Lytechinus pictus: one gene and its partner. The protein of the gene in region 1 purifies or fractionates together with the protein of each later gene. This does not show direct contact. Links are inferred from orthologs where the notes say so. Each region holds a gene or a part of one and is shown on either strand. Other genes may lie near its edges.

The links.
Region 2: the proteins of clusterin-associated protein 1-like (region 1) and intraflagellar transport protein 27 homolog purify together in Homo sapiens (affinity purification with mass spectrometry; 3 studies listed by BioGRID and IntAct, with this or other methods). This does not show direct contact. The link is inferred for Lytechinus pictus from reciprocal best matches to the Homo sapiens genes CLUAP1 and IFT27.

Annotation. Positions count from the first base shown.
Region 1 is NC_087254.1:19,163,613-19,180,286, reverse strand, and holds the start of clusterin-associated protein 1-like, read left to right. Parts: upstream 1-8,215; 5' UTR 8,216-8,279; coding exon 8,280-8,301; intron 8,302-10,194; coding exon 10,195-10,306; intron 10,307-11,292; coding exon 11,293-11,377; intron 11,378-11,745; coding exon 11,746-11,925; intron 11,926-13,587; coding exon 13,588-13,683; intron 13,684-14,184; coding exon 14,185-14,268; intron 14,269-15,014; coding exon 15,015-15,206; intron 15,207-15,741; coding exon 15,742-15,825; intron 15,826-16,674. Other genes in the region: formin-like protein 3, read left to right, coding at 696-822, 1,227-1,327, 1,709-1,873, 2,260-2,745. UniProt on the Homo sapiens protein: Required for cilia biogenesis. Appears to function within the multiple intraflagellar transport complex B (IFT-B). Key regulator of hedgehog signaling.
Region 2 is NC_087254.1:31,015,308-31,032,581, reverse strand, and holds the start of intraflagellar transport protein 27 homolog, read left to right. Parts: upstream 1-8,193; 5' UTR 8,194-8,387; coding exon 8,388-8,424; intron 8,425-9,244; coding exon 9,245-9,324; intron 9,325-10,269; coding exon 10,270-10,329; intron 10,330-11,464; coding exon 11,465-11,524; intron 11,525-12,499; coding exon 12,500-12,614; intron 12,615-13,095; coding exon 13,096-13,205; intron 13,206-17,274. UniProt on the Homo sapiens protein: Small GTPase-like component of the intraflagellar transport (IFT) complex B that promotes the exit of the BBSome complex from cilia via its interaction with ARL6. Not involved in entry of the BBSome complex into cilium. Prevents aggregation of GTP-free ARL6.

The DNA of each region.
Region 1 (16,674 bases):
ACCAAAGTAATTAATTAGTTTTATATTTTTAGTATTGTCTAAGCACGCTATTAAGTCACACTCTCTTTGATCTACGTTTGCACTCTCGTTCTTGCCCCCCTCTCTCTTTCTGACCCTTTCTCTCCACATAATCTGCGTGTGTGTGTGCCTCCCTCTCTATCTGTCTCCCCCCCCCACTTTATCTTTGCCCTCTCCCTCTCTCGCTCCCCTTTCAGTACTTTATTCCTTCTCTCTCCCCTCTATTCTTCGTCATGTCTTTGTTTTCTTTTTAGTTTTTTGTATCGTCCCGTATCTCTTTCATCTTTTTATCATTTCTCGCTATTACTCACCATCTTATTATTATTTCCAATATTCTATTTTAACTTATTGTATTTACACTTGCGAATAAATCCCATTTTTCAAATGTTTAATATACTATCTTAGGGGATCCACGCTCTACAAGCAATGCTTTTTAGTGGATCCCCTCATTTCCATATCAGATTCTGTTAAACCTATATTACAAATGTTTTGGAACTTGTAGTTGATTTGTAATCATTGTTATCATATTTCATTTGTATTTGTTTATATTTATAATGTATGTTTGATTTGTATTTGCTTATAATGTTGCTAATGGAAATGGAAAATAAAACTTGAACTTGAACTATATATTCGTCTAACCTTAACAAACCATGGATTCGTTTTCTGTGTTTGACCAGTTGACGTTCGTGAAATCATCGGATCGTAGTCATAACTTCCTTCATTACCTGGTTGAAGCTGTTAACCGATGTTACCCAGAAATCAAGAATTGGTACAACGACCTTCAATTCGACGATCTCAAGTCAGGTATTTCTTTCTTCACGATAAATACATTTTTCCTTGTACATTTCCTTGAAAATATGAATGTTCGTCGTAATATGTTGTGAGGAGAATGAAATTAAACACTTTGTTAACAATGATAATGCTCAATCGATATTTTCCGGTCAAGAGAATTGCACATGTTTCTTGCCTCTTTAGCCAATCACAATAAGGTTTCAATTTTAGTTACAATAATGGCAAAGTTACACTAGTCATGTTGTAAGTCTTTACAAAACGGGTTCCATGTGAAGGGGATAAATCTGAACATTATTTTGATTCCTTAGGTTTGGACTTCATTAAAAAAATCAATTTGGAATCACATAGAGATGCAAAGCATATTTCTTTGAAAAAAAGTCCTGATCAATGATTCCTATCTGTTTATCATTTAACAGGATCTCTTGAAGCACTGACTATGGATATTCAAGGATTACGTAAGGGCCTGGAACTTGCCAAGTTTGAACGAGAACGACAGATGGACAATCCTATTATTGGAATATCCTTTGTAACAACCGACTCTTATATATATTATATTTAGTTATTTAGTCTTAAAGTTATTCAATCACTTTGAAATGAATAAGTACTTCCCTGACATAGCACATGGCTCTGGATGTTTTGTGGATGTTATGTATTTGAATTGCTCTGCTTGATACCCATGGCCATTTCTTCCATTTAATATCTTAGATATTCTTTTAGCTTTATAAATTAGCATTATAAGGAAGTCAAACGCATGAATAGTTGCAATTCATCATCCCCTATCTTTCCTCTTGTAATCATCGTCATCATTAACAATCATTATCAAGTTTCTGCGTCCCCCTTGAGCCATCTTCGGTGAAGTCCTTGTCATGAAGCATTTATCCTTGACAGCTCTGTCCACCAGTTCTATGTGGGTGCTGCAGACACCATCCATGCACTCTCTGAAGGTTTCAAGAAGATGGAAGAGATCTACCACTACACTACCAAGATGTTTGGTGAGAATGGAGACCATGTCGAACCAATCAACTTCTTCAAGCTCTTTAAAGACTTCAGCGGCCAGTATCAGGTAAGATACCTATGTATTAATCCAGAATTTAAAGGAACGGATGCGTCGTTGTCTAGTGGTTCTGATCCTTTTCTTTACAACGGATGGAGATGGGTTTGAATCCAGACCATGTGTTTTCCTTCAGCAAGAAAAATACCAAATTGTGCTGCAATCGACCTAGGTGATGTGAATGGGAAGCACTATCTTTTAATAAACATTCATTGTCAATTAACTCTTAAATTCCTATTATCATCAGGAATCCGGAAGGGGGGGGGGATTCCATTTCGCTATATTGGTAATAGGCCAATATCCTTCTAAGCTTTTTACCCTGTCGTAATGTTTATTTGCTTGGCATTGCCGGTTTGCATTGGTCAAATATTATTGTCTTTCTCTTCTTTCTTTTTAAGGCTGCTGAGAGAGCAAACAGTAAAAATCCGATTGAGGTGGCTCCTAAACGCAAACCAGCAAAGAAAAAGGGATCATACAACCAGCAGTATGGATTACCAACACAAGAACTGCCTTCTGCCGGTATCACTGGTCGTCTAGGGCTCTTCCGCCGGTCAACCCAGAACAAAGGCTCTTATGAAGTCAAAAGTAAAGCAACACCATCGACAGCCACGATACCGGACGAATCGGTGACGAACTTGAGAAGAGATTCGCCGTCGTCCTCCGACTCGGGTATAGCGTCGATGGCGTCGTCGGGCGACAGTGGTTCGGCGCGGAGCATCCCGTACGTGTCGGTGGATGGTAACGATTCATCGAAGACTGGAGGGGTTGTCATGACAGCGAATGGACATGGTAATGCGCAGACGGCTGGAGGTGAGGGTGGTGGCGGGGACAAGGCTGCAGATGGGAATTCAAACTTCTGGGGAATGTTCAGCTCATTGAAGTGAAATCGTCTCCGGCAAAACTTGTGAAGACATTAACCTTGTGCCCTGGTCTAATGTTTTGAGAAGGTTCATTCTACATCATCTTCGCGGGAAGAGCTAATGTGTGCACTTTCTTCTGACGATACCAATCATTCAATAAGGAAGATTATGATGTAACGTTGTATTATGTGAGATTTAGTACATGTCGACAAGATCTATTTTCTATTTTAATATGATGGCCCTGCTCTTATGGACCTGACTATTTCTGACATTCAAGACGATGGTCACTGTTGAATATAAGTGTATTTCAAGGGAAGATTATGTATTATTATGGGTACTAGCTATGGTCTAACAGTTGGTCATGGGGATAATGTACGAATGTGTGAGTGGGTGGATATGTACTGTGGCTTTTCGTATGCATTTGCGCGCGCGCTTGTATAAGGGTGCATGTGTATGGAAAGAGGGTTAGAATAATGGAGAGAGAATATGTTTCATTAATAAATAAGTGATCCTTTAAGAATGTTTCCTTATGAATTATATGTCCAGTGATATCATTCTTTAAAAAGAATCTATACCAATAATTCAAAATCTGTGATATTGCTATCTCATAGTTATTAAAAAAAGTATTTTATTTTCCAGAAATAGTAATGGCATGTGACTTGTGATTGCTGGCTTATTTTATTCGAATGGATTGACAAAAATTAGTTAAAACCTTTATGATCAACTAATAATTTTGCATTCATTTGGGACTGCAGCAGGATTTTTTTTCAGTGAAAAAGCCCCCTCGTAGCCCTTTAATTTTGTATACCATTTTCTATTGAACAACTAAACTATATTATTTAAGATGAAATATTTGAAGTTGGAAATATAGCTAAAAAGGGTAATTCTTTTGTAGAAAGATTCTTTCTACGAAGACCGAAAAGGGAAAATGAAAGAAATTATTCCATTATCAGTATTCAGCATCACTGGTGTATCGATGGGGGCTAAGGGCACTTGCCATCACTCCCCAAAATGTCAAATTTCACCCCATGATCCCCTAAAATGAGGATAAAAATAAAACAAAGGGATATTCCAGTATCAGTACTCGGATCCATTGGCCAATGTTGGCGTATAGATGCAATACCCAAATAAAAAGTTCTCACTACCAAGAAAAAAAAGAGAAAAGGAAAAGGAAAGGGAAAGGAATGAAATACGATATCATTTTCTTTATGTTGTGTAAAAATGTATTCGATGTTGATGCTTGTTTCTCTTTTTTCATATTAAAATTTCGTTTGGATGGACTTGAAATTGAAATACCTTAATTTTCAACCTTATGTTCCGTTTGAATAAGAACGTAACATTTTGTATATAAGTCTTCCTTTTATCCAAAACAGTAAGATATTATATAAGATTATATATTCGCAAAAGCAATTCATCCGATATTATGTATGTGATCTATTTATAATGCACGCTGCTCCATGTACATAATGAAAAAAGGGGAATAGATTTATAGAATTATATTATTCTTCATGCTTTGCAGTATTTTCGAGATATTGTAAATATTACTATAAATAATGTTAAAAAGATAATCTAATGGTTATTGTATATAAGATGATGTATTATGATTTATATTGTGTAAAAACACGTGACAGTTCATGTATTCTTATCACTTCCCCTTGGGAAAAAGGGCATTGTATTCCGATTTTTGTTCTGAAATTCTAAATTAAGCCTCTTGGCGTTCGGTCTTCTAGAGGCAGATTTACAGGCCCCAATACAAATTTTTATGTTTGTTGTATGAAAGATTTATAAATCGAGTGATACTTGTAATGTACTAATCAGCACGCAAACACTCAATGTTATTTGGGAGCGAAATATAGGAAAGCCTACATTGATTGATCAGAAACAAAAGATGGATTATTTTAATCTTCAAAAGAATTTATTCGGTATCAGTCATATCACAATGACAATGGTACATCCACTCAATCAAGTCGGTATCAGTTATACCTCTAATGATACATCTATTCCCATCCGATTTATTTCAGAAAATGTGTAATTTTGTTGTGAAATTGCCGTAATCGGTCACTCTACACATATTTATTTCATTACCATGATTACTGTACTGGAGGACTGGTATACACTATTAATGACCAGATTCTTAATAAGAATGACCGGATTCATTAAAGGGGTACTCCTGGCTGAAATGATATGGTTTGAACATCAGACAAACAAAACACTGAAAATTTGTTCAAAATTGGACAAGGAATAACAAAGTTATGCCATTTTAAAGATTTGCATTATTCCAGTGAAATACAGTTCTAGGCATGTCTTCATGAATATTCAATGAGCAAACTGATGATGTCATATCCTCACTTGTTCTTTTGTATTTTGTTATATGAAATTATGTTTATTCATTTTTTTCCTTCAAGAACCAAAAATATTGTAATAACAACTGATTAAGTGCATTGGATATTCATTGCCGCAGCTTATTTTATTACAAGGGAGACATAATTCACACATGTATGAAAAAATGAAACAATTATGATTTCATGTAATAACATAAGAAAAGGGAAAATGGGGATGTGACATCATCAGCCCCATCTAATGAATATTCATGACGACGTGCATATAACTCTTTTCACAATATATTACTAAACTTTTGAATTCAATAACTTCGCTATTTGTTATCAGATTTTTATGAAATTTTCAGCATTTTGTTCTGTGAGTTTTACTCTATTTATTTAGATATAAATATTTTCAGCCCGGAGCATCCCTTTAAATCAAGTCATCTTAAGTAAAATTCAATCATTTTAATACAATCTTAGCAATCTCTATAATATTTGTAATCCATTTTTAAAATGATATTATTTAGTGTTTTGTTAGTAGAAAAAGAAGTTTTGTTTATAAAACTTTTTTGCATTTGTCAACAAGCCTTATCAATAGTTAAAAAGGCTTAAATAGAAATGTTTTCTTAAATTGTATCACTTTAAGAAGTTTAAGATGATGTAATTCAATTAGGACACAGTGAAAAAGGATTTTTTTTCTGATAGGTTGGTCTTTACAGGTCCCATGAAGTATCAACATCCGAGTTAAAACCCTTATTAAACGTGATTAAAGAGAGAGAAAAAAAAACAAGCAACTTTTTATAGGGTTGGACGTTCCTTTAACTCGTGATTCCAAGTTTAACAAAATTGAATATTTCACACGGCTTTGTTCTTTATTGCAAGAGAGAGAAAATTAATCAAATTTGAGTGGTTGATATTTTCATATCTTACCTCTCTAAAGTACAGATGGGGGCCTTTGGGGCCCACTGTTATTATCCCAGCAAGTTACATAGAGAAAGAGCAATCAAGCTAGGATAATTCTGTTCTAAATATTGTTATTCTAAAGGAGTTTTGATTTGGCAATGACAATAATGCCAAAATAAACAGTAATGTCAATACTGAAGCCTACATGATATGTGAGCTTTATTTTCACGAAGACTGAAGAGATATGACGAGGACTAATAATTAAGGCAATTAATACCAGATAGAGAGAGATAGAGGGGGGGGGGAAAGAAAGGGAGAGGGGGGAGTGGGGGGAGGTGTGAGGGGGGCCGAAACCGAAGCCAGAATTGGAAAGTATCCAGGATTTTCCAAGAGGGAGGCAAATTTTCCCTTTTAAAAATTGACAAGAACAAAAATAAGGTCATCACTTGTGTATGAACGACATTTCCCCATTAAAAATACTCGTTGTGACTCTCAAGGGGGGGGGGGCACACTTATTATCAACGGCATATTTTCATTGAAAATATTGACTATGAATCTTTAGGGGGGCACGGGCTGGTTGTGCCCCCATGGATCCGCCACTGCACATAATTCAAGATGAGAATGAATGAATGAATGAACGAACGAACGAGTGAATGAATGAGCGGATAAAATTAATGAACGAGGGCCGGTTGTGCCTCCCATGGATCCGCCACTGCACATAATTCAAGATGAGAATGAATGAATGAACGAACGAACGAACGAGTGAATGAATGAGCGGATAAAAATAATGAACGAGGGCCGGTTGTGCCTCCCATGGATCCGCCACTGCACATAATTCAAGATGTGAATGAATGAATGAATGGATGGATGGATGGATGAATGAATGAATGAATGAATGAATGAATGAATGAAACGAACGAACGAACGAACAAAAATGAACGAATGGTGAGTCGACTCCAAGGACAGGCTGTCGTGTGTTTAGGCCCTATAAGTCACCGAAAACAACTCTATTGATAAATTTCACAAGATCAATAAAGAACGAAAACAATTATTTGCAATTAGAATATACTGGATTTGAGTGAGAAAACGCATTTACAAATGAAAGATGACAGGTAGCTGGATTGTTAAAAGCAAAAAAGTAAATAGTTTAAATGAAGCTAACGAATCACGGAGAGATAAACGAATGGCAAGGGGGCAGAAGAAAAATTTTGAAGGATTTACAAAGTTTAATTAAAAAGTAGAATTAAGAATTGAGAGGACTTGAGGGAAGGGATGGGGTAGGAACGGGAAGAGAACAAAAAAAAACAAAAAATATATACTTTTCTAAAAATATCCCAAGCGTATACTCCATTTAATTGCATTTTCATCTCATTCTTACGACACTAAAACCAATGTTGCTCTGAAAATTTGGCAAGCGAATTCCAATACTGGTCCGATATTTCAGAAATTAAAGAATTTATTGTAAAACTCGTCTCATAGTTAATGAACGGAGACTTTTCTCTGTGAAATATGAATTTACTTGATTATTTTAATATTGATGCCGAATAAATATCAACTCAAGGCAAGGGCACGCGTTATTTTTAATCAGTAATAAAAGTTGAAGAGGTAGGCAATTTTTTTTATTTTTTTTATAGCTTACTGAAGAAAACAACTAAATAGTTCACCTTTCATCTTGGACATTTTGTGTCCTATATTGTTTTATTCAACAACTCAAACAAAAGCACCTTGTTGCGGAATTTACAGGCATATAAATAATATTTCAAGGTCAGAAATATACGATAGTACAAATGGAACTTGTAATAAAAAATAAAAAAATCTTTCGAAATCGGAAAGGGTGATTCTTGTCTTTATCCTGGTGAGTCATTTCGATGTCTTATGCCGTGTAGAGGTTGTGACAGTACATAACTATTCGCGTCAGATCTTAACTTGTAATTTTTTTTTTCAATCAAGTTAGTTATTACAGCAATGAGAATGAAAAGGAAAGAGGCAAGTAAAGAAAATGAAAATGCGATTTATGGACAAGATGAAGGGGTGATAAACCATATAGTGGACAACTTGGTGAGGGGGCAGTTTCTATACTCCCGAAAAGATGATTTAATGTTTTGTCAATGCCTTATTGCACGAAAATATTGCACTTTTGATATTAAATGTAAATAACAAACACGCATCGTATGTGATGATTAAAAACCTTGCAGATGTACAGGACAGCCCCAGAGCCACCTCAGTCTCTGATGAACTCAATAAACCTGCATTCAGCATTGGATGAGCGCCATCTACGGTAGCGTAGGGTAACTATAGCAGCATTCTTTCAGCGGTGATTCGAGATCGGTCAAAATGTCATACAGAGATCTGAGAAGTAAGCTAAATTTTCATGATATTGTGAAATTATTATATATTTTTTGATAAAATGTTGTGTAGTGATTTACATGAGATTGATTTTCATACAAGAAATCAACGATAAGACTTTCAGATTGAGATTAAGGGCAATGACATGTTGGGTATGTTGTGGAATGATGTTTACCGTAAATTGAGTTGCGTGTTACCCGTACCTACGGGGCTGGGTGTGTTCGGAGATTACGGATGTTTTTGTGTAGGCCTAGTTACTAGTACAATGTCAATGTAGGGCCTAGACAGCTGGCAGCCGTCTGTTTCGAGGAGTTTTTCAACATTTTTTTATTTTTTTGATTTCTCCTCGTACACAGACGGCTCGCTAGCGTGTCGCCACCATTACTACAATGCAAATTCCCCCCGACGGGGCTCATCGATTTTTGTCTTTATTTCATAAATATAATATATATATGAAAATAAATGGACAAATATGCGAATTAATTATATATTCCCTCTTGGCATTAATTGCCAAAAACGAGGGAAAAATAAAGTTAAAAGGAAAAAAAACAGCGACTTACCTCGGCTGTCGTGTAGTTCCTACTCCTAGTTCACTCGTTCATCCGAAGTCGATATAACACACAAACATATGCCGTTGGAAGAACTTCCGGGTCAACTGCGTATCAAAACCATTGGCCAATCAGATCATCTCTTTTACGTCGGGTTTATGAATACTAAAATTCTAGACGTTTTTTTCCATTTTCCTTTATCTCTTTCTCTTTCGTTTTCTCTCTTTTTTGTTTTACTTTTCTTTTTATTTTTTATTTCCCCTTTTTTCTTTTGTTTCTTTAACTGCTCCTTTCTTTTCCTCTTCTGTAATGTTGACGTAAAGGTCATGGGGCGGAGTCTGACTTTTGTCGGCCACTTTTTCATGAATTATTCATTACCAAGATGGCTGCCCACTAGTCCGAGTCGCAAGTGTCAACTTTCAGAGTTAATCCCCTGATTACCAGTTTTAAAGCGGGAATTTAGGGTAAGAAACTGTCGTTACTTATACATTTTCAGCTATAGGTGCATATGTATGAACTTTTGGTGGAAAATATCGCGGTATCGAGGAGAAAAACAAGAAATTAGCTGTGGCCATTGAGCCCCTGTACAGACGACGGTTTAACTTCGGTCTATGTATTTGGTGAGTGGAGCCAACGTAGTTCAGCGGAACAACCAACATAACAGAGACCGAAGCTTTTGGTCTATGTAGGGCCGGGCTACAGCCTACAGTACCTAGATCTATGTCGCATTGTGACATCCGCAGAGCTGCCAAGTAGTGGTTTTCAGTAATTATTACTGAAAAATGAGAAAGATTACTGGTGGTTTCATCTTACTCTTCTCAACTCTTTAATAGTTTATTCTTCCCCCTCCTGACCTTGTCACTTCTTTACTTAGTTAAGTTTAACTAATTCTTTCTCAAACTTTAAGAATTTCTTAATCTGTCTTCTCCCTTTCCCCTTCTCTTCCTCCTCCTCATTTGCCCCTTGTTTTTTTCAGTTGTTTCAGGTGAGATTTCACTTTTCTCATGCTCTGAGACTCTAATTGTATACCCAATTGCTGTGTGTTCGGACAGGTTGTGTGGCCGGACGATTGATTTCAAACAGCCATTTGAAAAAGTTAACAAGCAATATTTCATCAATTTTTAATGCAAAGTCTTAGCCTTACTTAGGCAATATTCAGAGAACAAAACTGAAAAGAGTTACCACTATTGAATTCATGTTTTTTTTGGTTCAATCCATACCATAGAAGTGTCCGGACACCAGCAGACCTCCATCCTAACAAAAAGCTCCTGACGACCTGACCCCTTCCCACATAAGGTCTCATATAAAAAATAAACTGATAATTGTCACATTCTCCCTGTTTTTTTTTTCTGTAGATTTTACTGAGATGATGAGGGCGTTGGGTTATCCTCGCCTCATATCCATGGAGAACTTCCGTACCCCAAACTTTGCTCTCGTAGCTGAGGTGCTCATATGGCTAGTCAAGAGGTAAGCCATTAAGATGATACACAGCATTTATGTTGCACCATATTTCTGTTAAAAACATTCATAACATGTTGGAATTATGTTCTGTCATTTGTTGCTATGTTTTTTCTTCACTTTATGTTCAGATTTTTTAAAAGCATTTGAAGAAAGATCTCTAGCAGTTACAATTAAATTGAATAGTTTAATTATTATTGTTGTAATTTTTCTGTTCCTTCTTTTTCTTGCATACAATTCACAATGAGGATTGTCATATAGTCAAAACATTTTTTTTATTTGGACTTGTACATTAACTTTGTTGTCAAAACTCGTTTAAAAATTATGTGTATGATGAAAGAATCTTGATGACTAACAGTCCATTACATGAGTATGAATTTGATAATCTTTTTTTTTCTCTCTTAGTGATACACATAAGGCATTTTGAAAGTAAAGAAAAATAATGAGAGTTTTAAGTTGTAATTCTATGCAGGTCCTGAAGCGATGCACTACCTGTTGCAAGTAATTTTCAAAGGCAAATTGTGACTGGTGTGGGACAAATGATTCATATTCTACATGTACATGTAAAATTTAAATTTCCTCAGAGCCATCAATCATTTGCAAAATACAGTGAAAGACTTTTTAGTGGTTTTGAAGTTCTATATTCTTGAATGTTTTATTGTTTTACAATAATAGGAATAGATCCTACACATTGAGGCACAGGAAATGCTGTTTCTTTGAATGAAAAGTCTAGTACAAACCTTTAGGACCCCTTCCAAATCAAATGACAAAATAAAAATATGTATGGAAAAAATGGGAGAGTTTTCCCTTTTTTCTGGGAATTTTTGTGCAATTTTCTTCTTGGATAATGATTTTCGGAAAATTTTACTCTGATTTAATTTCGGTATTAAATCTAAGCAAATATTTAAATTGTCATAGTTTTTATTGTCCAGTAACTAAGTGCCTAGCTTTTGGTCTCACAATCTGATATTGTTTTTTTTTTTAAATCTCTGTAGGTATGATCCTAATGCTGATATTCCTTCTGACACAGACTCAGAACAGGACAGAGTTATTTTCATCAAATCAGCTGCACAGTTTATGGTAAGGGATCATGTTTTACAGAAATAACAATTTGAGAGATCTTGTAATGGAGGAGAATGATAAATAATGCAATCATTTATCTTAAAAAGAAGGAATTACCCTTCATAAATGGTAGGCCTATTCATTTGCTAAATTTATAGGATACCCTTTCATGGTAGCATTTGAAAAATCATACCTGTTGAATAAGTGATTTTCTTTTGGCGGGTATTTGTTGATGTGCTTATAGATATATTGTTAATCTTATATATACTTTAATAAAAAAATCTTTTCCCTGAGTTTAAACAATTCAGGATAGTGAGAGCAGATCAAGAGGCAGAGGTGAGATTTAGCAATTGTAACCTTTCAACAAAACCTATTTATCTTTGAAGGCAACCAAGGCACATATCAAACTGAATACAAAGAAGTTATATCAGGCCGATGGTTATGCAGTCAAAGAGCTCCTGAAGGTCACGTCAGTGCTTTACAATGCAATGAGGACAAAGGTCGGAGGTCAAGATGGTGATGATGATGATGGGGCGTCAGCTATGTCATTTGACATATCATCAAAGGTAGGTCACAATGAAGGGGTTTTCAGTATTTAACATGTATTTGTGAAATCTTAATTATAATTGTAATTTTAAAAAGGATTATTGCATGGGTCACTGATTCAGAAGCAAGCTGATTACCTTATACTAAAATAGTAATGAACCATTGTTTTTTGTTTATATTTATTTAATTTACCAGAAGCATTTTACAATATAATGAAATGACAACAAATTTCATGGGAAACTAAATAATATACATATAACAATAAACATTGACAATAATCAATGCCTGGCGATTACCTGCAAATTATTATTTTTTTTGAAAGGATTTTCTCATTGGTTGTTGTAAGCTTACAAACCAAGTGGGAAATATGAACATGGCAGTAGTAAATAGTTCATATAAAGAAGGAAGAGGTATGCCAAAGGCATGCCAAATGCAAAACGAATGAATTTGAGTCTTTAAAGAAAAAGGCAAAATAAGACAATAGAAAAATATCTCATATATGTAAAAGAATACATTGACAAAAAAACACAAAAATGTACTATTTTAGAGAATGAGAGAGATATGTCTTCAAAGGATCCTTGAAAAATCTCATCTGTATCAACATGTTTAAGATAGCAAGGTACATGTAGCTTATTCCAGAACTCTGCGATAGCTTGTTAAAATGGTCTTGCACCATAAAGTTTGTGCACACTGAGTGAGAACAGAGATGGCATTTTGAATGAGAGTTTAGGTTCCTTGCAGAACTTGTTATTTTAACCCTAGTTCATATGGCCGGGGGGGGGGGGGGGGCCTCCCAGGCCCCCCTTGAGATCTCGAACGCGATCGCGCTGAAAATTGGCACGCGGGTTGTCTAGGACATAATCTACAAAATTGTATAGTAATTTATTTCATGCGAATTGCTATAAGGTGATTATGCTAATTTATGCGTAATTAGTATGCAAAATCATATTTTTTCCTCTAACTCCCTAAATAAAGCTCCAAATGTTCCAATTTTTGGTATAGAAACTCTTTGTGGTGTTCTTAGCAAGTGTACATGAACAAAATTGTGATATCAAATCATTTTCTTATGTATTATATTGTTTTTTGCAATTTCTTATGTATTTCTTTGTTTTGTTGACCTTTTGTTTTTCATTGTTTTTTCAATCAAATTTGTTGGGGACTCTTTTAGATCATAAAAAGCATGAAATTAATACATTGAGACCAGCAAAACTAAAAATAATCATACATTTATGATTTTTGGTTGAAAACACAATTTGCATTGACTTTGTACTCAAAATCACGTTTTTTAACAAGTTTTGGTCTGACATGCACTTACATAATGTTGCGTAATTTCGGAACCATGTACCCGGTGACGCAAAATTGGTCTCAAAAGTTGCCCAAGACTTGAAAGTAAAAAGTCAGCGAGCGGCGCGGTAACAAAAATTCGCGCGGCAAAAATATTGCGCGAATTTTTGAGGGGGGGGCTCCGAGGCCCCCCCCCCCCCCCCCCCCGGCCTAGATATGGTTAAAAGCCAGGCTTTCTTCCTGTTTTGATTTTACCAATAACCAATTTTGACATGGGATTGTATCAATTTTTTGCTATATCTGTAAAACACTCCAATATCAAAGCAAAGTCATTTGTAAACTTGTTTTCAAATGACTTGTTTTCATTTTGTATCTTCCTCATGTGTTTCTACTTCTAGATCCAAGATTTGAAAGCCTCCAGACAACTAGCATCAGTGATCACATCAAAAGGGGCTAGTTTATACGATCTTCTGGGCAAAGAAGTTGAACTTAGAGTAAGCATTTTCTCTTCTAAAGAATTACTTGTTTCGGTCAAGTCCATTAATAAAAAAAAATCAATAGAATATACTTTAATGCGTTTAATGTGCATATTGAAATTCTTGAAATATCTGTGTAATATTCTTCAGCACATGTCTTTGCCACTCAACCTCTTTGAAAGATACTTTCCAACATGCCTCATAGTTGTGTCTATAATGAAATTTAAGGACCGGCAGAGTAAGGTTGTTGAGTAGGATTATTGCTGAAAGACGTGGGTCGGACACTTGTCAATTTTTTTTCGAGCCTAAATACCCTAAGTTGCAGATATTGTGACATGTATTTGATGAAAGGCTTCATTTTACTTGAAAAGCAAGTAGTTGATATTTGATAGTTATGACTGTTTTACATTTGAGTTTATCTTTCTATTTTAGGTTGTAACTTGTATTTTCAATTTTCATAGATTTTTTTGTCTGTATAACTTAAATTTGAAACTCACAATTTTTGTGTTTTTCCCTCAGGAAATCCGTACAATGGCCATCAATAAACCTTTAGAGATCAATGAGATTGAGAAAGGTTTACGGAACAGCATCAAGGCTGTTGAGGTGAGAACACCTTTCAAATTTGAGAAAATAATTCATTTTTCTTTGCATAAGTATATATTTTCTTTATCATGTGATTTTAAGATTTTTTTGTGTATTGACTGAGTATTTCTTAAACTTGATGTGGTTTTTGTCACAGCTGTTGATAACCAATCCAAAACAATACATCTTATATTGGTGGCTCCATATTTTCAAACAAATTGATGTTAGGCTTTGCAGCTAAAAAAGGATTCCAAAGTATACCCTATGATTTGCTTCTGATCTCTATCCTTTAAATCACTTCTGTTTTATTTTTCTGAAGACTTATGATGGTTTGCAAGATACTCATGTTCAATTGCAAATCAAATGTAAGTCCCACAATCTAGAATGATTTAGCGTCAAATAATTAAATGCAAATAAAAATGAAATTCAACGTCTAATCAAAGGACTTGATTTTGGGACTAATGCTTGATTGGAATTGAATGTAAGTTTATTGTAATACCTCATATGAGTTAGAGTTGTGATAGGGTTTATATATATATATGAATAACAAAGGGGAGTTTTTCATTGAGCAGCTTGTCAGGGATTTTCACTGACAGATTTGATCTGGGCCAATCAGAGTTCAGTAGCATGTTACAACATTCAATGAAAATCACTTTTACACAAGGCCAAGGCCTTGTGGAGGATTGTTTTGTTTGGATTAATAATCTATGGTTAGAGTCGTCGTTATCTGAATGAATGTCATGAAATGCAATGTTTTGATTTGACAGCAAAATGTGAAGAAAACGCAGAAGATGCTGGAGAATGTGGCATCAGATGAGGCGAACCTTGAAGCTAAGATTGATAAAAAGAAATCCGAGATGGAAAGGAACCAGAAACGTCTCCAGACGTTACAGTCGGTCCGACCAGCATTCATGGATGAATACGAGAAGCTGGAGGGTGATCTTCAAAAACAGTATGAGGTACCGCAAAAACACTTTTTTTTTGGTCAGTTGTGAAGATATCAATAGTGTTTCTTGATATGACTTTTGCCAGATACAATTAGTTTTGGTTCTAAATCTTTTCATTTGAACACATGCTGATATTCACTTTGTATAGATATAACATTGTTTTTTGTAAGTATTTTTATGCATGATGAGACTAGTCACAGCAATGTTTTGTATATAATGTTCTTGACAAATTACTTTATTTGTATCATACATCCACTTTTGAATAGAGTTCATCTCTAAAGGTGTCAGAAATCAACATCAAACTTTACACTTACTTTTTAAGGCTTTGGCGGGTAAACTGCTTTTGTAGCCGGATGATGAAGAAATTCTTCTACCACTCGGATATTCTTTTCTTCCCACCAATGACTTCTTGTGTTTGAGCATTTTTTAGAACTTATTTGAGCAAAGTTTATCTTTAGTCAACAGTTTCTTGTTGATGTTCATTTTAACTTCAAATTGTTAAAGGTATATCTGAAGTATGAATATTTTATTAATTTCATTTATCCAGATTTTCATTGAGAGATACAGAAATCTAACCTACTTAGAGCAGCAGCTTGAAGAATACAGCAGAGCAGAACAGGATAGGTTTGAGGTAAGGACATTGGAGTGTATGTCAATTCCTTGTGTGCTAAATCCATGGTTATTACAGTCCCAGTGATGTCAAAGAGGGAACATAAGACACACACTGATGTACATTCATATGTGTACATTCTGTACACCCTTTTCATAAACTATTACTTAAAAATAGCGATTTTCCTTGCTTTTCACCATAGTCTTAAAAAATCCCCTAAAATGGATAAGAAATCCCCAAATTTATCTTAATCCCCAAATATTTTTTTTTTCATCCCCAAAGCCTTCTGAAAATCCCCAAATTGTGAAAATTTGGGGATGGAAATCCCACTGAGCATGCCAAAATCCGACTGACATTGCCAGATGTGGATTTGCCCCGACTTATTTCTTTTACTAGGATAGTGGTCTGGCAATAGATGTGAACTGTTCGTACATGCTCTGTGTATCGCAGTGCTCATTCCACCGACTGACGTACTTACCTACAGTCTATTATTGTATGTATGAATCAAGAACTCCCAAGTGAAAAAAAAATTGCCTTAACCCAACAATATGTTGCTGCATGCAAACTTACAAATTCCATCTTCAGTGCAGTACCGGTACTTAAATTTTCATAATCTTCGTAGAAAAAAATCTAATTATAGCCCCCATCCTCATAACATGAACATGTTATGTTTATCATCTTTGAGATTGGCCACAGAGCCCTTTAACCATTTTCCCACTCCGTTTGACTTGCATAATATGCAGCATACTTCCAACTTTGACTCGAGTCACATGTCATTTACAATGCACACAAAGCACATTTTATTCTTTTTGTATGCACATACATACAATAAGTACAGCATGCATCGCATTGGGTGATTTCAAGTACGGT
Region 2 (17,274 bases), about 12 Mb from region 1:
TGTATTGTTGAAGTCATGAACAGAGTCGTTGAATATTGTTTCTCTTCTTCCCCTATTCCCCTATCACTTGTTATGCTTTCATTGTATTTTATCCAGGACTCACTTTAATCAGTGCTAATGTCTGTTTTCCAAGGTTCATTTTTATGTGCTGTCCATTCCATTGTTTCTGGGGGTTATTTTGCCTTGTGAAATCATTTATTTCATCCACGGAAAGAGATAATCACTATTGACACCTATTCTCATTACCACCAAAAAATGTAGCTGTTCTGTAAAACTAAAATTGTGCAAATAATATATGTAGTGTGTTGACTCGTTACTAAAGAAAAAAAAAATAGCCAGAGGTGAAATTGAATGCAATGGTACTCTTGTGGATGTTGTTTACATTTTATCCCTGAATTACAATGGTTATTAAGACAAGGTGACAACTTTTAGAGTAAGTTATATATATCTATATATGAAAAATCTAGTGCGAGAAACAACGAACTGTACACTTCCATTGCTTGTGTTTATGTATATGTAATTCATACTCTACTAGTGCCTATGTGATGAAATGAAGAGAAATTTACTTGGCAGTCTTCTAAACTCACATTTTTTGAGCCATTTAAACATTATGACATTATGTAACTTGTATTCAACAGGCATTCCGTAGTACTAGTCTCTGTGCCCTTATGCAGAAAAGATGTGTAATAGGCAATTTGTAACTTGTAAAGTACAAATGAAAATGTAAAAAAAAAGAAAAAAATGTAAAAAAGACAAAAAAAGACAAAAAAAGAGTAAATACCGACTTTTGTTTTTTATGTCGGGTGCAATTTTGTTCTTGATGCCAATGATAATGAATGAAATAATATCTACCTGATATGTTAAATGCCTTATTCACTTAGTCTTATACAGTCTATGTAAGATTATATACTTATATTATACGAAAATGGCTGTTCAATCTTGTGCGATTTTAATTTTGTACTGGTAAGCAAAAAAAAAAAAAAAAAAAAAAAAAAAAGGAAAAGTTCTTGTATTATATACTTTATATGAATGTTTGATTACAATTGAATGTCGTAAATTGAGATTTTTTGAAAATGATGAAAATAAAATGTGGAAGGCGTGATGTGATCAACCTTACACAGAATGTGCCCCTTGATGGTACAGATCAGTTCTAAACGCAATCATGATAATTTATGAAGGTAATTATCTGGATATAGAGTGACATAAATACTCTTTGTTTTCATACTACGGGTGTGTGTCTGTGTTATGTCCAAGATTGAATATTTGAGAACTTATCTTCCATGCTGGAAAAGAATGTGATGAAAAAATTTTCAAAAAAATAAAAAAAAAATGATGAAAAAATGATAATAAAAAAAAATGTGAGAAAGGGTTAACCAATGTATAAGTATTATTTCATTATTAAGATGTTGAGTGTGTGTGAATTTTACGGACACGTATGATTGCATAAAAGTTTTATTCACTTGTATCTAAGCCAGGTTGTAAACTATTGGAATATCAAATAGCACTCCTTTAAAAGCAAGGGTGGTTTCAAACATTAAAGTATAGAATTTTATGATGAAAGTGTTTTTTTTTTCTTTTGGGTATTTGTACAAACTTAGTGGTAGCTGTTTAAAGACCTTGTGTGTGTTTTCAAGCCATTTACCCATCTTGTACCAAGTATACATATATTGTACAATTGTTTTTCATTCTTCAAAAATTGAATAAGAGCATGTATTGTGTATAAAATCCCTTTTACGACCTACTTATAACCGGCAATATGTAGTTCGTAAGAAACGTTTTGAAAAATTTAATTTTTTGATGTCATATACTATATTTTGCTTCTCTCAATTTTTTCACTTGTATGATATTTTTTGAAAGTGTTGCAGTAAAGATAATCCGTTCATTGATAATGCATGTGTATTGTATATGTCAAAGACAATTAAAATGAAGTGCATTTTAGTATTTTTTTCTCCTGTGGCATTTTTGTGAAGGTCACGCCTGTATGTGCAGCTCTCTAATATTGAAATGAAAGGAAATATTTCTTGTTTTGCTATGCCTCTGGCGATCACTGTTTTTGTGATATGTATATCAATAAAATTGCCAAAAAAAAAGAGAAGAATTCTAATGCTTATAAGTTCAAAGTGGTGACACAACATACATGTAAAGTGATACATTAACTTCTTTATTTTTAATAATTATTGTATTTTGTTTGTATGCATTCCACAACAAAGAAGGATCCATTGGAAGTTTAGATTCCCAATGTGGGATATAACTCACGAACTTAAAAGAAGTAGTAATCAAAGAATTAGCTAATAGTGTTTCACATTTTTTTTTCTTGTATAGTGATATGAATGTACCGTTATTACTTGCCCACCCCCAAAATAATATTTAAAAGGGGTTCTTCAATCTGACGGTGCTAGTCTACACAATATGTCAGAAAATCAAATGCAAAAAAAAAAAGAAAAAAACGAAAAAACTAAAAAAAAAGAGTTGATTGATTTTTCAAAGTCTTTCCCTATAAAACAAATATTTTGCAAACCATGATACTTTACTGTAATGCTTATAATGAAATGTGCATGTTTGTTTTTGAATATGTGTGTATACTGTAATTAACCATATTTTTGTTTTGGTTGTTTTAGAGCGGGTGGGGGACTGTTTCAAGTTATCACCCCTCCAAAGGAGAGAGTACAGTGTGAAGTTGATTTATTTGTATTATTATTATAGGCCCTTTGTAGTCTTTATAGTTTTGTGTAGTGACTTAGATTGATGTAGCACAATTTAGCAGGTATTACAGTCGTTTCAGGTACTATATATATTATATATATATCCATCTTTCACTCTTGGCAGGCTGCTCGTCATATTGTGTATATAAAGCAATTTGACATGTTTCTTACCAAATAGATTTGTTATGCTTTTTAAAATCGATAAATAAAGCACACTTAGATAGAGATACATATTGGTAATTAAGATAATAATCTTTGTAAAAATGGTCATTAACCAACTGCAACTGTTAGTGTAATTGAATGGGATGGGAATCAAATATAAAATATAATATATTCACATTACCAAATGATATTTGGAAAATGGAATGAATGAGACCCCAAGAGTTTTTCCTAAAACCTAAATATAGATTCACAAAATTGGGAAATATATTTAAAAATGTTAAGAGAAGTATCATTGATTTTTCAGGTTATAATCAGATACCAACATTCACCTCAATGTGAAGACAAATTTTTTTTTTAAATTAGTTATAGATGATATAAACCTACTAATCTATTTTATCTTTTATTCAGTTATTATCCTTTATTTTCAACTTGTCATTAGTATCTTTGACTTGTTTTTTGTTTTAATAGAATTCATATGGTCTTACAAGTACAATATGATCTTCAGTTATGCACTTTAAATTCTGTGTGGCTACGAGAATATATCGAGAAAGAAAAAATATGGATGAACCTGCCTTGTTAATGAAAAGCAATTAGTGTCAATACTAGTATGAAATATGTCTTTGAAATTCATTGTGTGTTGTAATTGTTGTGATTGATTTGAAAAAAAAAAACCCAAAAGTTTCAACTAAACAAAACAAAACGAAAAAAATATAAAAAAAAATAATGGTGTGCAAATGTGTTTTATGTTTTGAAGGCACATGCTATGCAGTTTAGGAATAGTTTTGTGTAGCTACTGTGCAATGCACTGAACTTGTAAAGAAACCATTTTGATAGTTTATCTTGAACGGTTTATATTCTGTATGTACTACTTTCACACTCGTATATCTTTATGACTATTGTATTTGTGATAATCAACATGAAAAAATACTGTAATAAAAAGAGGCCTGCTTAGTAAACTATGCTTCCAAATTGAAGTAATTCTAAACCATCCCAACACTCAAATATGTCAACAAGAAAAAAACAAAAACAAAAAAATAGAAAGATTGAATCTATATTTAACGGAAGAATTTGTATTTTTGTGTTTTTTCTTTGACAATGAAATTTTGAAATAACTGAAAGATTGTATTAGTGTAAAGTTTTTTATGATATGAAATTTTAATGTTTAATTTCCTTTTTTTGTGTGTCTATTAAATGCAACTTTAGAGAATAATTCTGTTTATAACAAATGGAATAACATGAGGGGGATAATGCAAATGTTTATTCATATACGAGGAGGAAAACTGATTTTCATTGTAATACTTTATCATTATTATTTTTTTAATGCTGCTGTATTTGATAGCTTAATTGTGTAGTAGTAATAGGCACTGGTTTTGTTGTGTATTGATGTTTGGAGTAGCGAGGATTGAAAAAAGAACCAACTTAAGCAATGTATCTGCAGACCGAAAAATAGAAATGGATCGCACTGAACTTGCCAATACTTACCAATTGCTGACTTAACAACTTTATACAAAGCTTTGTGATAACCAAAATCAAAGAAATATACTGTATGGGAAATTTTAAGAATCTAAAGAGAAACACTTTATTTAAGTCTTGTCAAATCTTGCTGTGAAAAATCAACTTGATGTGCCTGGTACAAGCAACTTTAACCTAAAGATATTTGTCAATCGTTTTTAAAATGTCGTCACACATTTCTGTAAAAGTCACATTGATTTTTTTTCTTCAAAACTTTCTGTTTGATACTCTTCTTGACTTAACATGTTTATGTGAGTGTATCGGATGTGATGAAACAGATGGGAGACGTTATGAATGAAAGACTATTTGATAGTTAAGATAAACCCTGCCAGTATGTTTTCTAATTCATGTTAAATGACTATAATTCTTTGATTGAAGTACTTAATTATGGAGTGGTACTGATTCTTTTGTTTTCTGTAATGTATTTAAAACTGTCATATACCCTTTGTGCCTGATTTGAAAAAAAGGACAATACTCTGAACATAGTCACTAAAAACCATGGACCATGTCATCTCAAGCCTTTCAAAATTGTCTTCATTCTCTTTTTATTTTGTGATGAATGCTCCCCAATTATGCTCATTCATTCTCATAGAGATCTGAGACATCACAATCTAGCCTGATTGGAACAAGAATGGTTTATAGAAATAACAAGTATTATATTTGCACTTCCTTCTAGCATATATATGCCTTTTTTGATGCAGTACATGTTTAACAAAAGGATAAACTGCTTAATATTACCTTAATCTGCATAAGGAGTATTCTTTAAATTCTTTACGTTATTACTTAGATTATATGTTACAATATATGCCATTCATTTTGTTAGTGTCTGACAATCAAAACATGTTTTTGAAATGTAATAATCCACCTCTTTTGATATTTCATAGATTCTTTTAAATTGACATAATTATCAAATATATATTTATACTTTAATAATTGTTAATAATATTGGAATACTTGGAAATAAACAGGTTACGTTTGTAAGCTTAGTGTACTCCTAATGTCCCACTTATGTCTTCAGTAATCAGTACAAAATAGCAATGTTGCAATTTAAACAGTAATGATTTTAGATTATTTGACTAGAATAAGTGTTATCAGTGCTATATTTGCATAATGCAAACCATTGCCCATATTTCTTTTTTCATGTATAAGCTACGGTTTGTTTCCTCAAAGAAACTGGTACATTTTTAGCCTATGCTTGGTGTATTACTTTCAAGATTATACTTTAATTAAAGAAACAATGGATTTTCAAAGAAGAAAAAAAAGACTTATGCCATAGCATAAGCTTTGTCAGTACTGGCCAGAATACTACACAATATTTCACCAATTGGTAGTTTCTATTTAATTGAATGTTTGAAAAGGTTTATTTCCAAAGTTGCATGTTTTTTTTTAAATAATACACTTTGTGGTACTTGTTTGCCCATCATTTTACACCAGAAAAATACTTAACAATACTCAAGAATTAATACTCTCTAATCAAGACACTGTGATGATATATACTGTCCCAATTAAGCATCTTAATTGATCTTGAAAAAAGGTAAAATAAAGGGGAAAACCCCATTGCTGCATGCTATTTACTGCAATTTTTTGGGAAATATACAAGATTTGTAAGCTCAGATATTGTGATAATGATTTTGATGTTGAGTAGGAATTGACATTATATCACATTATGATGTAGTTTGTAAGAACAGTTAGTAATTATACTGATTTCTGATATACAGTTTTGGAAAGTATATTTCTTAAAATGACAATAATGTAAAGGAGGATTTTATCAGTATAGGATGGTGATGATTGTAATATTCCAATATTCTTGGCACGTTGGATGCAAACCATGTGCTACCCATTTCGCCTTCTGATACATTTCAGGCTGTAGAAATAAGCTATATTTAAATCATCGAGTACTTGGCCACATCTTTCCAACGTTATTCTCTCTTTATCAACCCAAATTGTGCTTCCATAGTTGGAAAATTTGAGATGTAGTTTGTTGTAAGAAAACAGGAATTGTCAAAGTAGACTAATGGCTCTTTTTCCCTGCAAAAGTTGATAGCAATGTGAAACTTATGTATATTTGCAGTAGGATTTTGTGTGTGTGTGTTAACAGTGTCAAAGAAAAGGCAGATGGTAAAGGACATGAGAAAAGGTTTTTTTAAAGGAAGTGAAAAAGATTTGGCAAAATCTATTTGGATGTAACAGTAGGAGTGAATTTCAATATGTCAACAATACGAGACAGTGTATGTATAGATGAAACCTAATACGCATATTTTTTTTCTTTTTTGGTGTGTGCTCAAAATAGACCTTGTTGGAATGACCAATAATAGAATCGTTTCCACAACCCCTGTGTTTCATTTCATGTGTCTTTGCCTCAATTTGAATTGTGTTGTGAGCCGGATGACCAGATATCCTCCTGCACCCCATATGAATCATCCCCAGAATTCTCTCTGGAACTTTATTTCACAAATTTTTAACATTCTATTTATTTTTAATTTTTAGAAATCTATTACATGTATCAACAACATAATACATGTAGATGAAAAATAATTTTCAGATATTGAAAATTCAAAGTCATTCTCGACTTCCGTGTTCTCAGTACCTCTATTATTGTTACATCAATGCATGCATTCATGATGATGCACATCAATTTGGGACGTAGAACAGTTTTTTGTGCACAATTGCATGCACTGCTCCATGATGGAATGTCTCATGTTACTTTCAAAATCTGGTCAGTCTGGTTCTCAAAGAGAGAAAGAGTAGGGGGGGGGGTAGAAAGAAGGAGCAAGAGACAGATATTAGAGAATGAGAGGGAGGGGGCTGATTTATCATGCCAATAGAGATCATAAAGGTATAGAAATGGGAAAATATACAGAAAGAGATGAAGATGGTAAGGTGGAGATAATAAGCTGAAGAGTATGAAATGAGTAGAAATATACAAAATGGCAAAGAGATCCGAAGGAGGGCAGACTATATACGGGTTGGGGAATTTACAAGCATTGTAGATGTGTGAAGAGAGAAGACAAATATATTTTTGAAATAGATCTCATTCTTAATTTTGAAAGGTAATGGATTAATGGATTTCCAAACATGAAATGAAAGAAAACAACCAAATAAGGAAATAGTTGGAGTTGGTCGTTCTCAAGCATATGAGGGGATGGATCAATAAATTAGTGCTCTGACAAAGAGAAAATATCTTAAAGGGAAGAAGATGGAGAAAAGGAATGATGAAAGTGTGGACAATATGAAAGAGATCAGGGTAAATGCGTTTCTAAAAACGACCGGAGTCACAAAAGGGAGCAATTATGTCTAGTGAAATGCCGAGGGATCATTTAGAAACGGTTGTATTGTAATATATGAAATGAGAAAAGGGGGGAAAAGTCGTACAAAGGTCAAGGGAGCAATTATAATACACAAGAGAAGTTGGAGGTTGCAAAACAGTGGAGACGTCGACAGAGAAGGGGGATGCGTCTCAGAAATTAATTGTTCGGTATAAATCACATCATGGAAAAGTAGCATTGTAAGACTTTAAACGAGAGTGTTGAGGAAGGGGGAATTTAAATGAGAATGTAGATTTGGGGAGAAACCTGTTTCAGATAGAGGAGATCCTAGAATAAAAGGGAAATAATCCCTATGGAAGCAGAAAGATTTGCAGGATCGAGAGATCCGGGCGAGAGATAATTTAATAAATAAGAGAAATAAAAATAATCACAGAAAACTAGATCTCTATACGGTACAGTAGGGTACATTATTTTGTTTGTGCTTTGTTCTGGGAAATGCAGGCAAAGTTTCTTCTTTGAAAAATTGATATTTTATAAATAATTGATTATGAAGGATAGCCGTTTTCGATCGCTGGTGGATATAAAGACTGGTATCCGTTCTCAGGCATAACAAAACTGTCCTAACACCGCACACAACACGATGATTAAATTGTAAAACAAGTGCAGCTCCAAATATTTTCTTGATCTCGTCGAGAAGAAATAGCGTCGTGTTGTCAGGGATACGTTTTCATAATTTCTTTCCAGAATGCCAGTTTCTTTAAGAGCGAAATGTCTCGTAGTCGGTAAGTAAATACCGGTTGCTGATTATATCAGATCAATGAAATAATTTGAGTTGTGTTGTTTCTTTAAAGAGATGCTAATCGGCGCGTTTGTCCAAGCAAAATGCATAATTGCAGTCCCGAATATTTACTTCTGTGTCAGTGTGTGCTGGTGATCATGTGAATGTTGTTGCGAATTGCGCCGATTGAACTCGAACGTTTACGCGTTAGCTCTAGACTACTAGAGTCTAGCTCTATCTTTATACCAGGATTTATTACAATGGAAGATAATGAAAAGGGGAGGCAGTGAAAGATACATGTAAGGTTTTTTGGGGGGGCAGGGGTTACCCTTTGGTCCGCTGGCCGTTCTTAAGTCAGAGTCAGAGACATTTGGGGAAAGATTCATTCAAAAAGTGATTTGGGGAAGGAATAAAAATGTAAATTGAAAAAAAATAGGCCACCATCATGACGATACTTCTCACCCTATTGACATGAAAGTTGGTCGATTGCTTCGCTTTGAAATGACAAGCAACAACTGTGCAGCCCACGAATGAGAGTAGATCTAGTATAAGACTATATTTTATCACCATTTTGATTTTTTTTTTCAGCCCAGCCATGAAAAACTATTTTTTTAGATCAGTTGATAATTCAACTTTTATACAACGAAGAGTAATTTTGGATGGTCTATATTAGTGAATTGGTTTATCAACAGCCCCTATGCACACTTCCATTTTGAAATCTTGATTAGCCCTTCCCATTCTACCCTTTGCATCAATTTCTACAAATTGAAGAAAGTAGAAATTTATTTATTCTTTCTTGTATTATTAATGTTTTGCCTTTGCAGGAGACTCGGCTGTTGGAAAGAGTGCATTGACCCAGGTATTTCACAGTGATGGAGCCCATTTTCCAAAAGGTTATTCAATGGTTAGTACATTAATTTTAAAATTTTCAGAATTATTCATTAATTTTGATGTTGTAAAAGACAAATGGCAAATATATAGAGCTGTTGATGGCATATGTTCTAGCGACAACTGCTACAAGAACTATTTATTTTACAGTGAATATCTTGTGATGCCTTTTCTAATAAGAATTATGTCTCATGCTCCTTACCTTGCCCATACGAATCCTCTATTTGTTGAATTGAATGTATTAAAATTTTATGATATTCATGCATTTCAAATTCTTATATTTATGTATTTATGTAACAATAACCTCTTGCCAGATTATATCAAAACATTCTTTAAGTTCAATAGTGATTTCCATGGATACAACACAAGAAATGCAAAGAATTTCCATCTACCTAAGCCAAGACTCTCATCTTTTAAAAACTCAATTTTATTTCAAGGACCACAACTCTGGAATTCTGTTTCTGTAGACATCAAGCAATCAGTTTCATTAAATGTTTTTAAGTCAAAATCAAGGTAATTTACTTTAAATAGTAATTCATAGAGTTTGTATAAATTTCATTCAGGTATTATAGGCACCCCCCCCCCTTTGTTGTAGTTTAGTGATTTTTTTCTATCTTTGTTATTGAAGTCTTTGTATAATTATTATGTTATAGGGTCAGCTAATCACAAGGCTTGTTCCTTTCTTGCTGTCCCTCTCTTGCTGTCCCTCTCATATTCAATCCAAAGTTTCTATTTGTTGTTGTTTTTTCTATTTTGTGAATATGATACTTTGTATATGTATGTTTTTGTATGGATTTTTATGAGCAAATAAATTGAAATTGAAATTGAACTAAAAGTTTAAATACATAAACGAATCATTCAATTTTAGCCCTCTTAAAGCAACTAGTCAATAGACAATATCACACTTCTCTAAGTTTGTTTGCCTATTAATGCTATTGCTTGTTTTTCATCATGATTTTAGACTGTCGGAGTTGAACTGTGTGTCAAGAATATCAGCATTCCAGACACGAGTGACACAGTGGTATGTATCAAAAGAGAATTGGGGCAATTTCATAAAAATGTTCTGAAAGTTATCTAAATGTTCTTAAAAAATGTAATTACATCAACCAACATCGAAATACGATCACATGAATTAACCTTTTCCTGAAATGTAAAGTATGTTATTTGCAAAAAATGTTGGTGATTTGGGAGGCATTTTTTAAAACTTTGATGAAGCATCAAGTGAACAACTTTATTTGGCAATAAGTTTTCAGTTATTCTTAAAGTCATTACTTATGAACAGTTTTGTGAAACTGGCTCCTTATAACCTTAACATTGTTACATACATTATAATTTGATGTTATGATAATCAACATCCTAATAATTAGTGCAAGAAATTTGCCAATTATAAAACGTGATAAAGATTTAGATAAGCCCAGGTCATGACTCATTAATGTTAATGCAGGGCATTAATATGAATGTCCAGTATGTTAATGACAAGTAAATGAGATATAACATATTTTTGAAAGGAAATGCAAGATACATTTCGACCACGCGAATACAATAAACATCCAAACAGCTGTGATTTTGTTGCAAATTGTCCTTATGGGGGGGGGGGGGTGGTGGTGTTATAAAATGTGCTTCTTAAATATGGAACAATATAGAGATTCAAATTGTTAATTGAATATTCATGTAATGATTGAAGAGAGACAAGATGGCCAGTGTTGATTCATGTTCTCATAATATTGTCTGGAAATAACAATTTTGGGTAAAAACAAATTTAGAAGGTCACAAAAGAGGAAATAGTTTACTTAATCATTCAGCGTAATATAAACAAATCTATTAACTTGAATCTTTCATTGAAGAAGTTTGTTTAGGGATAGATGTGCATGGGAAGAATAAAATCACCCCTTTGAGGAAAAAAATGATGAAATATGTGAAGAAAATAATCAGAAGATCGAACTCGATGAGCAACAATTAGTGTGTCAGTTATCAGAAAATTTGGCTGTTCACATGGGAATAACTAATTTAGCAAAGCTATATTTGAAATAAAATCAATTTGCTTGTTTTCTTGCTCATTGAGAAATATGACATTAATCTTGTCTTTCCAATTTACCTCCTTGGTACTGCCATTAAATACTGATGTCAGTTTTGATATTGTTTTCATTTTCATGAAGGAATTGTACATCTATGATACGGCAGGCAAAGAGATGTTCTTTGATTATGCTCAGCAAGCAGTAAGTATAATTTATGTAGATTACAAAGTTTATGTACTCTGTAACACAAAATTCTATACTGCCCCATTCTTTTAGCTTGTTTGCTCTCAACTCTTGGATCGTGCAGATGTAGTTATATTTCTTGATAGAGAAATTCAGGAGCAAATCTACCCTTGATTATGGCCAAATGCATATTGGCTATTGGATAGGTCTATACTGTACCCTTATGTGAATCTTAAAAAGAAGAAGCAAATTGCTTTCAGATCTCTAGAAATTCAAAAACATTAGTCGCACTTTAGAAGACGTTATGTTGTGTCTTGCTCTTTCTTTCTTACTTTTAACATTTTCAATCCCTAATGTCATGAACCTTCATGGATTTTTTTGATACTCCAATTTATTCTTGTGGCATTGTGATGTATAAGTATTGCTTACTTATGAACGCTGTTGATTCAAGTGAAGTGTGATATTCATTTTAACCCTGCCTGTCTGTTAGACTTTGAAAAGGAATGATAGTTATTGTTTTCTTTTAAAAAAATAATATTTTACCAAGTCACACATTCAGCATGCTTCTCAGATACAATATAAATGTATTTAGTCTAATCTTCAGGATCATATAATTTGCCTTTATATCCCCTTCCCCTCTTACTGTATGTTCCTGTCCTCTCTCCTTTTCCATCCTGTACATTCCTCATCCCTCCATCTCTTTCTTCATCTCCATTCCTTTGCCTTTTTTCTACATCTCCCATTTTCTTATCTTTCTTTATCTCTAACCCCTGCCCTCTCTCTCTACCCCATACCCCCTATGGCCTTTCTTGACCCCCTATCCCCCCTCTTCCCCCATCTCTACCTCCTACCCCCTTTGGCCTTCTTGACCCCCTATCCCCCCTCTCTGTCTTTTGGCTCTCCCCTCTCTCCCGTTTGTCTCTCTCTCCTTTCCCCCTTTCTCATCTCTCTCTCCAATCATCCCTCTCCTCCCTCTCCTCTCTTCTTCTGAAGTGGGAGCATCCATCAGTGATGATGGTGGTGATGGATGTGACAAATGAAACCAGCTTCACTGCATGTAACCGCTGGGTGGAACGAGTCAAAGCTAAAGCTGGACAGCACATCCCAGGTGAGATATGATTCCATCATTGCAAATTCGTTGTTTGCTGAGTTTCCACTGAATACAAATACAGGCACCAAATACCAAATGTACTTGACATCAGAGGATATCATTCTTTAATCTGTTATATTTTGTTAGTGCCTTAAAATCATCTATCCAAGTATCCGAACTACATTAAATTGCTAATATATACATAGTGAACTGTATAGTTGGGGCAACGTGCAATGCTCAGGGGCAATGAAGTAGTTGCGTATCCATTGTAGGATGTAGGATCAAACAGCTGGTGGATGATTTGATTGGCTATGAAACTATTAGGCTGTTTGGTTCTTGATGCTAAGTGAAGAGTGAATAACTTTAAAGTATGTCGGTCATCAATATTCCTTACTAAACATGCCATCTGTTAATGTGAGACTCTGAGATTGGAAACAAACTCGCCTACCAAGATATATGATTACTCATTTATCTACAATGTGCTCTTTCACTTGGCCAGGTGTATTTGTAGCCAACAAGATTGACCTTGAAGGGCGGAGAGTCGTAGAGAGGAACAAGGCTGAAGAATTTGCCAAAGGCAAAGGACTGGAATACTTTGAATGTTCTGCTGTAAGTTTTAATGTGTGATCTGTGTAAATATAAAACTATAGTTTAAACCTTCATATTAGTGGAGCGGTTATGTGACAAAAAATGGCCAAGATGCTCGGATCTGGCAGAAAGTGTGAAATTTGGCATACAGGGATATTTTGGGGCGCTGATTTCAAAAATTGCCGGCCCCAAGCGATTTGACCATCGGGTCGGCCGCCATTTTGAAATCCAAAATGGCCGCCATGAAAAATCATTAAATGTCATTTTCTTGAGTTTTACATGGCATGTGACACTGAAATTTGGCATATATGGGTATTTTGGGGCACTGATTTCAAATATTGCCGGCCCCTAGCAATTTGACCATTTGGCCGGCGGCAAAATGGCCGCCATCTTGAAATCCAAGATGGCCGCCATGATATAATATTGCAATCATTTTCTCGAGTTTTATATGAACTGCGGTACTGAAATTTGGCACATAGGCTTAATTTGGGGTGCTGATTAAAAGAATTGCCGGCCCCAAGCGATTTGACCATTGGGTCGGCCGCCATTTTGAAATCCAAGATGGCCGCCATGAAAAATCATTAAATGTCATTTTCTTGAGTTTTACATGGCATGTGACACTGAAATTTGGCATATATGGGTATTTTGAGGCACTGATTTCAAATATTGCCAGCCCCCAGCAATTTGACCATTTGTCCAGCGGCAAAATGGCCGCCATCTTGAAATCCAAGATGGCCGCCATGATATATTATTGCAATCATTTTCTCTAGTTTTATATGAACTGCGGTATTGAAATTTGGCATATAGGCTTAATTCGGGGTGCTGATTTCAAATATTGCCGGTCCCAAGTGATTTGACCATCGGGTCGGCCGCCATTTTGAAATCCAAAATGGCCGCCAAGAGAAATCATTAATGTAATTTTCTTGTTTACGTGACATGTGACACTAAAATTTGGCACAGTTACAGGATTTTGAGGCACTGATTTCAAATATTGCCAGCCCCAGCAATTCGACCATTTGGTCAGAGGCAAAATGGCCGCCATCTTGAAATCCAAGATGGCCGCCATGATGTATTATTGCAATCATTTTTATGTGAACTGCGGTATTGAAATTTGGCATATAGGCTTAATTCGGGGTGCTGATTTTAAATATTGCCGGCCCCAAGTGATTTGACCATCGGGTCGGCCGCCATTTTGAAATCCAAGATGGCCGCCATGCATATCGAAAAATAAGACCTCAAATTTCTTCTCCCTTTCACTGCAAACGTTCGAGTGCACTTAAGCGTATCACCAATACATAAAGACACGTCGATAGGGGTGCATGGTAGATATACATGTCAGGTGAACAATGGGTGCGAAGGGTTACCGTTGTTGTATGAGCTTGATTTCACCCTCCATGGAATACACTATTCCACCACACAGATTTGTCATGGTACTATCGCCAATCCTTGCTACGAGTCTGAAACTGCGTAGATTTCCCGTTTTACAGGCAAAACGATGGGAGCTATATCGCATATGATAGATTTCAACAACTGAACTTCTCTTGCAAATTATATATCGTGGAATTCATAATTTTTCGACAAGAAAATGTAAAATTTTGAGCTAAACAATGTATATCGTCATGGGTTCGATGGCTAAAAATGAAACACAAAATTTGTGCCTGGAACGTGCGGTACGGGCACATTGCTGAAGCCCCATTGAATACTGTATAAAAACGGGCATACGCACATGCATATATTATTGTGGTCTTGGGTGAAATTATGTTATGTGTCTTTTGATTAGATGGTAAATAACCAAGTGTTTTCAAGCAATCAAAATATATGTATCATCAGTCGAAAGAGAAGAAAATAGGCTTTCTTTTTGCGTCCGAGTTGCTTTCTACACGTGTTTTAAGTTTGATGGAATCGCCCACAACTGGGATTTCCCTGTGATCTCCATAGACTTCTCTCAAATTCATTAATGTTCATCCAATTTATGGCAGCCATCTTGAAATCCAAGATGGCTGCCATAAAAAAATTCATTAAAAAAATAAGTATCATAATTATAACGTAGTTATTATTTTGAAATTTTGCATTTTTGGATAACCATCGTGTGTTCGACAATCTGACAATGGGAGCATGTTCGCCTCTCGATCGGGAGATCGGGAGTTCAAGCTCCGACAGCATCAGACCAAAAGATTTTAAAAGAGGGGAGTTCCTTCTAACCTGTTTGGCGGTCAACGAATTAAAGGGAAGTTCAACCTGACAAAAAGTTTATTGAAACAATAACAATAAATAATGAAAAAATATTGAAGGTTTGAGGAAATTCCATCAAATATTTAAAAAACTATTGGAATTTCATTTGGTCTATTTGTGACGTCAGATGCAAGCAGTTCCCCCATGTTTCTTATAGTACAAAATAAATGAAATGTAGCCTCCTAAAAAAATCAAAATGTTTTTATTGAAGCTTCGGTATATCAACAAACAAATGATTTCACACCCGCTCCAGAAAGATTAAAAAATACCCATGATGAACCATTTATGCATTTTATATCACACAACATAATGGGGCAGCTGCTCGTACAGTAGCCTATATGACGTCACAAATCAAAAACTTAAATTCTAATATCTTTGATGGATCCACCTATATCATTTTTATATCATATTTTCTTTTGTTTTTACAACAAACTTTTCTCCGGGGTGAACTCCCCTGTTTAAGGGATAGAGCAACGTCTGACTGTGTGGCGCTGCTAAATTGCTGCCGGGCTCACGATCTACAGGGTATGGGCAAAATAAATTTTCGGAGCATTTCTGTTACTGAATTCTATTTTGAACAATAAAATGTGTATTATTATCATCCATCATTGATATTAATTTCATCATCATCATCATACCACTATAACCATCAGTACTTCAAGTCTGGAGCAGTTTTCTTCATGTTGATTTGTAATAAAATATTGCAATTATTGGAGCAATATTTTCAAACCAGCAGGCCAAAAACTTGCCTGTATGTCTAAAATGCAGTGCCTCAAATTATTTAAAACCAAGAAAAGGATTTTGATGAATTTTCATGACAGTAGATCCTCTCTAGATTTCAAGATGTGGCCATTTTGCAGCATATCTATTGGACAGATTACTAGGGGCATTTTCAATATCCCTAGATGCCAAACTTTAAAATAATACGTTATGTGATACTAGATAAAGTGATTTTTTTCAATGATCTTTTTTCATGGCAGCCATCTTGGATTTCAAGATGGCTGACATTTTGCTTCTGACTCGGGATCAGATCACTGAGGGCCAGCAATATTTTAAATAAGTACCCCACACTCCGTCGATATGTCGAAGTGCAATACTGCAGATCATATGAAGAAATAATTTACAGCCTCTCAACAGAAAATGATTGTTCCGGATGGTTATTATTCAACCAAAGCCACTTCAAATGTGTAACTGCAGAAGAAGCTAGCTGGTTTGTGTATGTATGGTGCTTCATACTTAAGTAACATCTATATCAGCAATTAAGGGTGCCAAAGTATTGTAATCCTTGCAACGGACAAAGATGTGCTTGTGTTCGATTTGTTTTCAGTGCCTATACAATGGGTTTTACTCACCATTATAATGTTGTACATCATTCAAACTTGGTAACCATATTGGAATTCAAAATAGCATCTATTTATTATCTTCTTTTCATTGATCAACGATGCAAAGATCAAGTTTTTATCCAAAGCTAAAGTGTTACAGGCCATACGTAAGACTTGAGTAAATTATCTTTCATGGTGGCCATCTTGGATTTTAAGATGGCGGCCGTTTTGTCGCTGACCTGGAGATCAAATTGCTGGGGGCCGGCAATATTTGACATCAGTGCTTCAAAATACCCCTATATGCCAAATTTCAGTGTCACATATCATGTAAAACTCAAGAAAATGACATTTAATGAGTTTTCATGGCGGCCATCTTGGATTTCAAAATGGCGGCCATTTTGCCGCCGACCAAATTGTCAAATTGCTGGGGGCCGGCAATATTTGAAATCAGTGCCTAAAAATACCCCTATATGCCAAATTTCAGTGTCACACGTCATGTAAAACTCAAGAAAATGACATTAATGATTTCTCATGGT